Canis lupus familiaris: one gene and its partner. The protein of the gene in region 2 interacts with the protein of the main gene of each other region in a biochemical or structural test. Links are inferred from orthologs where the notes say so. Each region holds a gene or a part of one and is shown on either strand. Other genes may lie near its edges.

Region 1 (4,481 bases), on a different chromosome or scaffold from region 2:
AAGCAGGCAGCCTTTGGCCCAGTATAGATGCATCCACCTGACAGGACGGGGTCACCTCAAGTGGCAGAGAGTTCCCAATCAGGCTGTCCTGCCGAGCAAGGCTGGAACCAAGGGCCTCCTTTCAAGATCCGAGTTGAGAAAGCCGTGTGGTGCCCAACAGAGAGGACAGAGCCACTGCAAGGGGTGCTGAGGGGCTGCTCCTCTTTTATTATCAACAGGAGGTTTCTCTAAAGGGAGTGTGATGCCCCTCCCCTGTGGGACCACTGTCCAACCTGTGCATCGTCCCTTCAAGTACCCTCTCAGAAGAAGAGCCCCCGCATCCGCCTGCCGATGCCTTGTCGGTCATAGAGGACGTTGAACTTGTTCACAAACTGGTTCATGGTGTTGCAGGTTTTGGTAATGGTGCCAAGGTAGGCCATGAGCCCCACGTCATTGCATTGCTGGAAGGAACAGAAAACCAGTTGCCCAGGGAATGTCTGAGTCCCGGGTCCTGCGTGCAGACATGATGTACAAACCCCACGTCCCCAGCCTGGGTTTTAGACTCACATCGTAAAAGTCTGTCTTGAACTTGTCTGTACTGAGCACAGGGAGGCAGTGACACAGAGCATAGGCCTCCCGCAGGATCTCATGGTTAAAGGGAACCTCTCCTAAAGGCACAGAAGGACTGCATTAATGTGGATGAGGTCACCCTCAGGAGTGAGAAAAAGTGGTAGGCGTGCCAGGGAGACGCCTGTCCTACCCGCTTCAGAGGCCTTGACATATTCCAAGATGAGCTTGACCCGGCTGTGCAGCATCTTAATGGCACTGTGTTGTGCTATCAGGTGTTCGGCCACTGGGGGGAGACAGGGAGAGGCCAAGGTTGAAAACGCACCTGGCCACGCTTTCCACCCCCCACTGCTGAGGAAACACCTCCAGTCTTCCTTACCTGTGGAGTTCTCGCCGCTGCCTGTGGCTGTCATTCGGGCCACGTGGTCGACGCCAATGCGTTCAGCTTCCTCTGTGGCCAGAGTGTAGGTCAGTTCCGCAAACAGCATCGTGGCCTACAGGGCACAAAAGCAGAGTCAGGAGCAGGAAAGGCCAAGGAGCAGGACCGCGGGGTTGAAAGGCAGGGCATTACCTCTCCATTGATTATATCGATGACAGACTCAAAAACACTGACGGGAAGCTGTAAAGCAACGGGAGACAGCTCTTACATCAAGTGCACCTGGGCTACCGTACTGGCTCTTCTGCAGATTTTCCCAATCTTCCCAAGGGCCCACTGAAGTAAGGCTAACCCCCACCTTATACATAGGGCAAAAAGCAGTTCTGAGATTAAATGATTAACCTAAAGTCACACAGCTGCTGAGCGGAGAATTCACCTCAAGTGAAGATTCAGCCCAACAGAGATGTAAAGCACAGCAGGGGAGGAGGGTAAGATTGTCATGCTTGTCCAGCACCGTGCCTAAGTGGGCATGGGGTCAGTATTACTCACATCTGTGTGCTTGGTCATAGGATTCAACTTAAGAAAGAGAGGGCTCTCGATGATCTCGCACACCTGGAAGGGAATGGGGATGTGGGTGTCAATGCCCATCTTTCCTCCCCTGCTCAAGCCCTGCCCCAGCATGCACCAGCATGCATGTGTACCTGCTTGTGGACGTGGATGTCAGAGGGGTCAGGCGGCCCCCCGGTGGTATACCAACCCAAAAACTCCAGCTCCTTGAACACCTGTTTGACTGCAGGGGAAAGAGCACAGGGTATCATTCTTTAAATCACCCTCCCTTCATTGGAAACTCCTGGTATATTTTTCATCAGCTTCTCCCCTCCCCGCTCAACTCCTGGCTCAGTTCTCAATAATTAGTCCCTTCTATCTTCTCTCATCTATTACTGTCTGGGGGGTGGGTACCTAAACTGTTCCTTTTCTGAGATCCTTTGTGATACTCTCCTCACACAAACACAGTTCTTGTCCCATTCTCCTATTTTTCCCCATCACTCTCCATCTTCCCCACTCTGCCTTTGTTTCTCACTCCCACTCCTCACCCCCGAGTCTATCCCCCTCTCACACTGCTCCTCCTTGGTGTAGTAATACTCCTTGTCAATGATAATCTTCTCCTCCACGGTGTGGGACAGCAGCTCAAAGGAGTTCATCACCTCGATATTTCTGCCCTCCTGCTTCCCGATCAGCGCCCCAATCACTGGGGGAGAGAGCGACACGGAAAACAGGAGGGTTAAGAATCCGGTCCCTGGGTCGAGGTCAGTGGGAACGCAATGCTGGAGACACGGTGACCTGGGGAGGGGGGACTGGCCTCAGGAAGGGCGGGGGCAAAGACCCCTACTTGGGGCAGGTGACCAAGGAGAGGAGGTTGGAGATTGACGCCCAGCACGCACCCTGCATAGGCCGCCCCTCCTGGGAGCGCATGCGAATCCAATGGTCTGAAATGTTGAGAATGACGAGGGGATGAAGAGCGACGGAGACGCTCCCCGTCACGCCGGAGGCCATCACGCTGGGGACTACTGAGGGTGGAGGAAAAGGAGGACGAGTGAGCGTCGGGGCCGCACGTTCTGCCCCGGAGCTGCGAGCGGGAGACGGCAGAGCCGGAGCCATACATCCCTCCCGCAAGTTAGTCCAGGGGGCGGGATCGCCGTCCCGACTGCTGACTCCTCCCGGGAGTCCAGGGGGGCCTTGTCGCTCCCCGGGGGGCGTCACCAGAGGCCGCCTCCGCGAGGCCCGTTACCTGCCGCATCCACCTCCATCCCGCTGCTCCCTCCAGTCCCGTTCGCCGCCGCCGCCATTTTCCCCGCGCCCGCCAGCCTCGGCCCCGCCCCCTCCCCGTCGGCTTCCGTAGGCCAGCGGCGCATGCTCAGTGGGCGCGGGGCCTCGGCGGGTGGGGCGGGCGGCCCCGGAGCGGGTGGACTTCGGAAGACCGGGTCCGCCACGCGCTTGCGGCGGTGACAGATCTGGGACAAATTACTTCACCCTGCGCGCTCCCAGCCTTACCGTCCTCGTCAGTAAAACTGGGATAAAACGGCCCAGTTCCTAAGACTGTTGCAGAATTAATGAAGAACCACGTTATTGCCCTCAGAACAAGATCCGCGCCCGGGCCATGGCGTGCAAGGCCCCGCAGGGTCAGGACCCTGCCTGCCACCCGGCCCTCGGTCCTCGTGCTTCAGCCGCGCCGGCTCCCCTGGCAGTTCCCTTCGTATGCCCCACGCCCACGTGCGGGCCTCTGCCGCGTCCAACCCGACAGCCAAGGACCTAAATAGGTATTTCACTGAGTGGATAATCTGAGGTGAAACCTGGTCGCGAATGGTTCACCGGCGTGTCCTTTCCTCCTTGCAAATACCGTATTACCTACATACTAGGAACGTGCCCAGCACTCCAGCCCTTCCCGGCCTCCCTCTATCCTCCATCTCCAGCAGCCTTTCAAAACTCGCTTGGGACAAACCCAGCCCACTCCGACCCCTCCCCACTCCTACGCCCAAGCACGTCGCTGTGCACTGCGTTTACTCCCCCTTGCTCCCCTACCCATTTGTCTAGCTGGTTCTTTCAGTGTATGCCTGTGCCACATCCAAAGTGAAAGCTCTCAGAAAGCAGGTGAAGACCTGTGCCTTGAGCCTGCAGAGCCCACTCCAGTGCCCGCAACCAGCAGGTACCAGGAAATGTGTTCCAGTTTCCTTCAGTTCCAGTGTTTTAGCAGCATCTTCAAATCTTTTTCTTTGTCCCTCTGTTTCTGTAGTCACATCGCCTTGTGCGATAAAACCCCTCCTTGCTTCTTTCTTATAAAGACACCTGGCATTATATACAGTGCCCACTGGGATAACCCAGGATAATCTCCCCATCTGAAGATCCTTAATCATAAATCCACGATAATCTCCCCATCCGAAGATTCATACTTCAATCAGATCTGCAAAATCTCTTTTTCCCTGTAAAGTAACATTCACAGGTTCCAAGGATTGGGACCTGGCTGTATTTGGGGGCCACTGTTCAGCCCGCCATAGCACACGCAGCCCACTGTGGGGGAGCTGGAGAGCAGCACCCTCAATCAAATGGTCATTGTCTTTATGATCCAGAATTATGTCAGTCCATGAAGAGAATCCTGGTGGCCGAAATAAAATTAAGTTGGAGTTTGCTAGGCTCCCTTTTGCCTGCAACCAGGATGGCCTGGGGTGGGTATGGGGTGGGGAGAGGGAGGACAGGGAGAAGTGTCATTCCAAGGAATGGTCAGGGCAAAATCTTTAATTTTCAGAACAAGTCTAGAAAGCCCTCCTTCCATCCTGATCAGTACCCTCTGGTCAAGACCAACCAGGAGGAGACAAACACATTCAGGGGACAGCCACATTTAGCAACCAGGATGCCTTACTAAGGTCCGTGGACCAAGAGGAAGTAAGAGAAGTAGGAATGATTTGGAGGACGTCGTTCCAGCCCTTGGCACTCAGATGCTGTGGATGGCAGGGAGCATAGAATGTCCATCTGACACCTTAACTACTGACCCATTGTTAGGTAG
Region 2 (4,230 bases):
GGCGGGTGTGTGTGTGTGTGTGTGTGTGTGGGGGGGGGGGGTGATGGACTGTCACTCACCTTGACTTTAGCAGCCAAGGTGACAACTGATAGGTGGCGAAGCTTATTCTTCTGAGCCTCTGTGAGTGGGGGAAGATTCCGGGCTTCAGCTGGGATAAAAGGACAAAGCAGAGGAAATCTTGATTACACTTTCGTGGGAAGCCCTAGCTTCCTACCCTCTACTTAAAAAAATTTTTTTAGTCTTCCATGTCAATTCAGGTCTTGACCCTGACCCTGTGTACCCCAGGAGGGTTTCCCAGGAATTTCTTTGAAGTCCTTCCAGAAACTGCCCTTCTCCCACCACTACTCCAGAGCTCTAACCCTCTGGTTACCTAAGTAATCAGCATATGTCCCATAGGCGAACACAGTGAGTAGCCGGAATGTGGAAGCGAAATCACTCTCAGCTAGCTGCAAAAATACAAAGGAAGAGGTGACAGGACAGGCGTCTCTCCAGTTCCCTAGCCTCATTCTGTTTTCAATTCCACTTTCTGGCCCCATCTCTCCCTTCTCCCATCAGCTCTCCCAGCCCCCAACCCCCCCCGGACTTCTCTGCCTCTCTGATGGCTCTCCCTATACGAAGGCCTCATTGCCACCTCCAGGCCCTTGTCTACACTACTCCCCCCAATCCACCATGCCCTCTTTCTCCGTACGTCTTCATTCTTACCCCAAATTCAGAACTGAGCACATTCAGAGTGTTTGGTAGTGAGCGCACATGCATGTACACACACACACACGCACTCAGACATTGTAAACTGCATTTTGGTCCTTAGAGCATGTTTAATATTTCTGAATCTGAGTAGGCAGTCTGCCGTACCTCCCAATTCACCAAACACTCCTGCGTTACCCTCATGCATCTCTGAGAGCTGCATGGCCTCTACGTCAGACCTGCAGCACCCAGGAGGCTTTCATCATCCAGGCCAGCCCACTCAGATCTCCTCTCCAATCACTGATCACTCATTCTGGCACTTAATCGATCAAACCCTTAGGCTGTTACCGAAGAATATCTTTCTTTCCAATATGATAACAGCTCCAGGCCCTGGTATCCCACCCAGTTAGGTCTGCAGAGCTATTCAGGTCTGCAGAGCTATTTGGCTCTCAGAAAATACTTGCTAAATGAGTAATTTACATGGCCATATCCATTCATCTTATCTCTGCAACTGGAATATAAGTTTTAGGAGGATAATAAGCACTGTGTCTTACACTTTTCTGGTATTCCCAGATGACCCGCAGAGATAAACAAGCACTCAACAAATGCTTGTTTTTTTCACCTTAACGGACCCTCTTTAGTTCCACTGTAGAAGAAAGCGTAGGGAAAGAAGGCAGCCAGAGTTTTCTCCATATACCAGTGACTCCTGAAGGCTAAATCCATTGACTCCATCAATTACTGGCTCTCAAAAAGCTAACACAGTTTGCCTGCATATCAATGCCATAGCACCTCAGGACTTGAGCTGATGTCACACATCTTGGTGATCCAGCACCCCCTAGACTTTAAACTCTTAACTCTATGTGAACAGTTCTCTCTGCTGTGTCCCTAGCATCTTGCCACATGTCTCGGGGAGAAAGCCACCTTCTAACACTTCTAGGCACTTATCTAACTTAAGTGAATGAACAAAGGGTACAAAGTGAGGAGAGGAGGGGCTGCCAATTTCATGTTCATTCCTCCCAATTGTACCAGATTCTACACTTCCCATAATCTGACCTGATTCCTATAATTGACACTGAGGGGCAGTATCAGTTTCAATTTTAAACGGAGGTCTTAAAGTAAAAGTGACCTGATCAAGGCAACATGATCTTACTAAGAGGTACTACATTGGAGGAGACAGGATGGAATTAGGTCTCCTTTTCTGAATCACTCTTTGGCTTAAAAATGAAAAACAGTGGGTTTTACAGATGATTCATCAGCAAAGGAAAGTGAGAGGTTTACTTGCCTACTTATTTTGCCAGCTGCTAATTAATCATCACCATATTCCTGTTCAACCGAATGGTTATGCGGTTGCAAATGAGCCCTGCCCACCCATTCTCAAATTCAGACTTAGTCCCAAGCTTCCATGTGTGCCTTCTAGGCCAGGAACCCACCTCTCTAACATTAGGCATATCCAGCAGTTCCCCAAACACGTAGACACCAGGAGCCTCCAGCACCTGGTGGATGAGTGTGGCCAGCGCTGCCCCCTTGGCCGACTTGGCCAAGAGCAGAAATTGCTCCTGGTTCTGCCCTGTCACCTTCACCTCGGCACTCATGGCTGCACTGAGCTGGGAGGGCCTGGGCTCAGGATATCTGGAGCTGCAAGGAGAGAGAATGTGAAGCTGGAAGTCCCTGAACCCTGGGAGGGCGGGAAGCACAGGGGCCAGGGGCTGGACTGCAGAGGCACTGAGTCACATCTACAAATGAAGAACGAGAGATGGGGCTGTCTAAAACTCGGTTCTAGAAATCCGAAAACCGGCCACTTTGACGGACGCCTGGCTGAGACAGAGTTGCCAGGCCCCCTCCCCCATCCCTGGGCCTGATCCCAAGGCCCACCACGTGCACCCCACTGAACCCCAAGGCATAGGATGCGGTGGGGGAAGGGGTGTCACATGGCGTCCACCCTAACAACAACGCTCCCTCAAATTTCCACGGTGCCGCACAAGTACCCCCAACCACGTGACCTCACCCTCACGATCCTTCCACGTGGCTCCGCCCCCTCCCTTAAAGAGGCCGCCCAGGGACCGCGGGCTCACGCCGACTGCCCCGTCGTACCCTGGGTCAGACTCTGCGGGCCGCTACCTGGAAGCTTCGTCTTCCAGCACACCGGGCGGGGCAGCCACTCCGTCACCTCCGGCAGCTGTTCCAAGCCTTTCCTGCCACCTCCCCGCAGAGTCGCTCTGGCCACTACACTCTATGGCGGGCTTCCGGCTCGTACTTCCGCTCTGGCGAGGCCAGGCCCCTCCCCCGCCTTCCGACGGCTGAAGCTCCGGCGAGCGCCAGTCATTCTACTCTCTGATTGGCTGTTGAGGAAGAAGGACGGCGTCTTTTTTTTTTCCTGCTTTGTTTCAATAAAACTTTATTGTCCGACGAGCGCTAGATGGTAAATGCGAAGGGAGCCCCTTGTCTGCAGCAGGTACCGGGTGGTTAAGTGTCTGTTCAAAGCTGCTTGAAACCTGGAGATCGGGCTGCACAGGGCGCTGGAGGCGGCAGGAAAGCTGTAATGAGAAAGAGCGGCCTGGAGAAGGAAAAAAGGGAGGGAGGGAAATGAGAGACAGGAAGAAGACAAGAATAGTAGAAGTTTCGCAGCAGGGATCCCCTGGCTATTTTATTTTTTTTTTTATTTTTATTTTTTTTAAAAATTTTTTATTTATTTATGATAGTCACACAGAGAGAAAGAGGGAGGCAGAGACACAGGCAGAGGGAGAAGCAAGCTCCATGCACCGGGAGCCCGACGTGGGATTCGATCCTGGGTCTCCAGGATCGCGCCCTGGGCCAAAGGCAGGCGCTAAACCGCTGCGCCACCCAGGGATCCCCCTCCCTGGCTATTTTAACCACTCCTTTTTTTTTGAGGAGCAAGAGGAAAGTAGTGGGAAAAGTACAGGAAGTAATAATAGGTAACACTGACATTGTAGTAACATTGCTTACTATTGGTGAGGCATCTTTTAAAATTGCATCCCGTTGAATCCTCGTAACTATACTGCATCCCCAGTGTGACTCCGGGAGTACTTGTAGAGTGAGGCTTTCGTGCGCATCGAGTCTTTTCATTCCTGCGAGACGAAAAACCCCTAGGTGTAAGGAAGGTATCTGTTATTACTTTAACTTTATAGATAAGGAAATTGATGCTCATAAAAATTTAGAGATTTCGGGATGCCTGGGTGGCTCAGTGGTTGAGCGTCTGCCTTTGGCTCAGGGCGTGATCCTAGAGTCCCGGAATTGAGTCCCACATCCGGCTCCCTGCATGGAGCCTGCTTCTCCCTCTGCCTGTGTCTCTGCCTCTATCTCTGTGTCTCTATGAATAAATAAAATCTTAAAAAAAAAGTTAGAGATTTCAAATTGAACACCTATAAAAAAAAATAAAGTTAGAGATTTGCCTGGAACTCATGTCTCTTCAAGCTGGAAACTATCTTTCCACGTTACCATGATACTTTAGGAAAAATAATAAATAACTAACAGTTCTGTAGTATTTTACATCATACGGGCTTGCAGAAGGTCAAATAAGAATAAAGT

Evidence for each region.
Region 1: the proteins of COPS7A (region 2) and COPS6 form a complex in vitro, tested with the Homo sapiens proteins (3 studies listed by BioGRID, with this or other methods). The link is inferred for Canis lupus familiaris from reciprocal best matches to the Homo sapiens genes COPS7A and COPS6.

The regions. Positions count from the first base shown.
Region 1 is NC_049227.1:9,446,774-9,451,254, forward strand, and holds COPS6 (COP9 signalosome complex subunit 6), read right to left. Parts: upstream 2,861-4,481; 5' UTR 2,836-2,860; coding exon 2,712-2,835; intron 2,491-2,711; coding exon 2,365-2,490; intron 2,172-2,364; coding exon 2,040-2,171; intron 1,713-2,039; coding exon 1,624-1,712; intron 1,535-1,623; coding exon 1,472-1,534; intron 1,166-1,471; coding exon 1,118-1,165; intron 1,041-1,117; coding exon 926-1,040; intron 833-925; coding exon 740-832; intron 648-739; coding exon 547-647; intron 441-546; coding exon 300-440; 3' UTR 182-299; downstream 1-181. UniProt on the Homo sapiens protein: Component of the COP9 signalosome complex (CSN), a complex involved in various cellular and developmental processes.
Region 2 is NC_049248.1:7,780,836-7,785,065, reverse strand, and holds the start of COPS7A (COP9 signalosome complex subunit 7a), read right to left. Parts: upstream 2,962-4,230; 5' UTR 2,803-2,961; exon of another isoform or gene 2,690-2,802; intron 2,320-2,689; 5' UTR 2,277-2,319; coding exon 2,115-2,276; intron 447-2,114; coding exon 371-446; intron 149-370; coding exon 60-148; intron 1-59.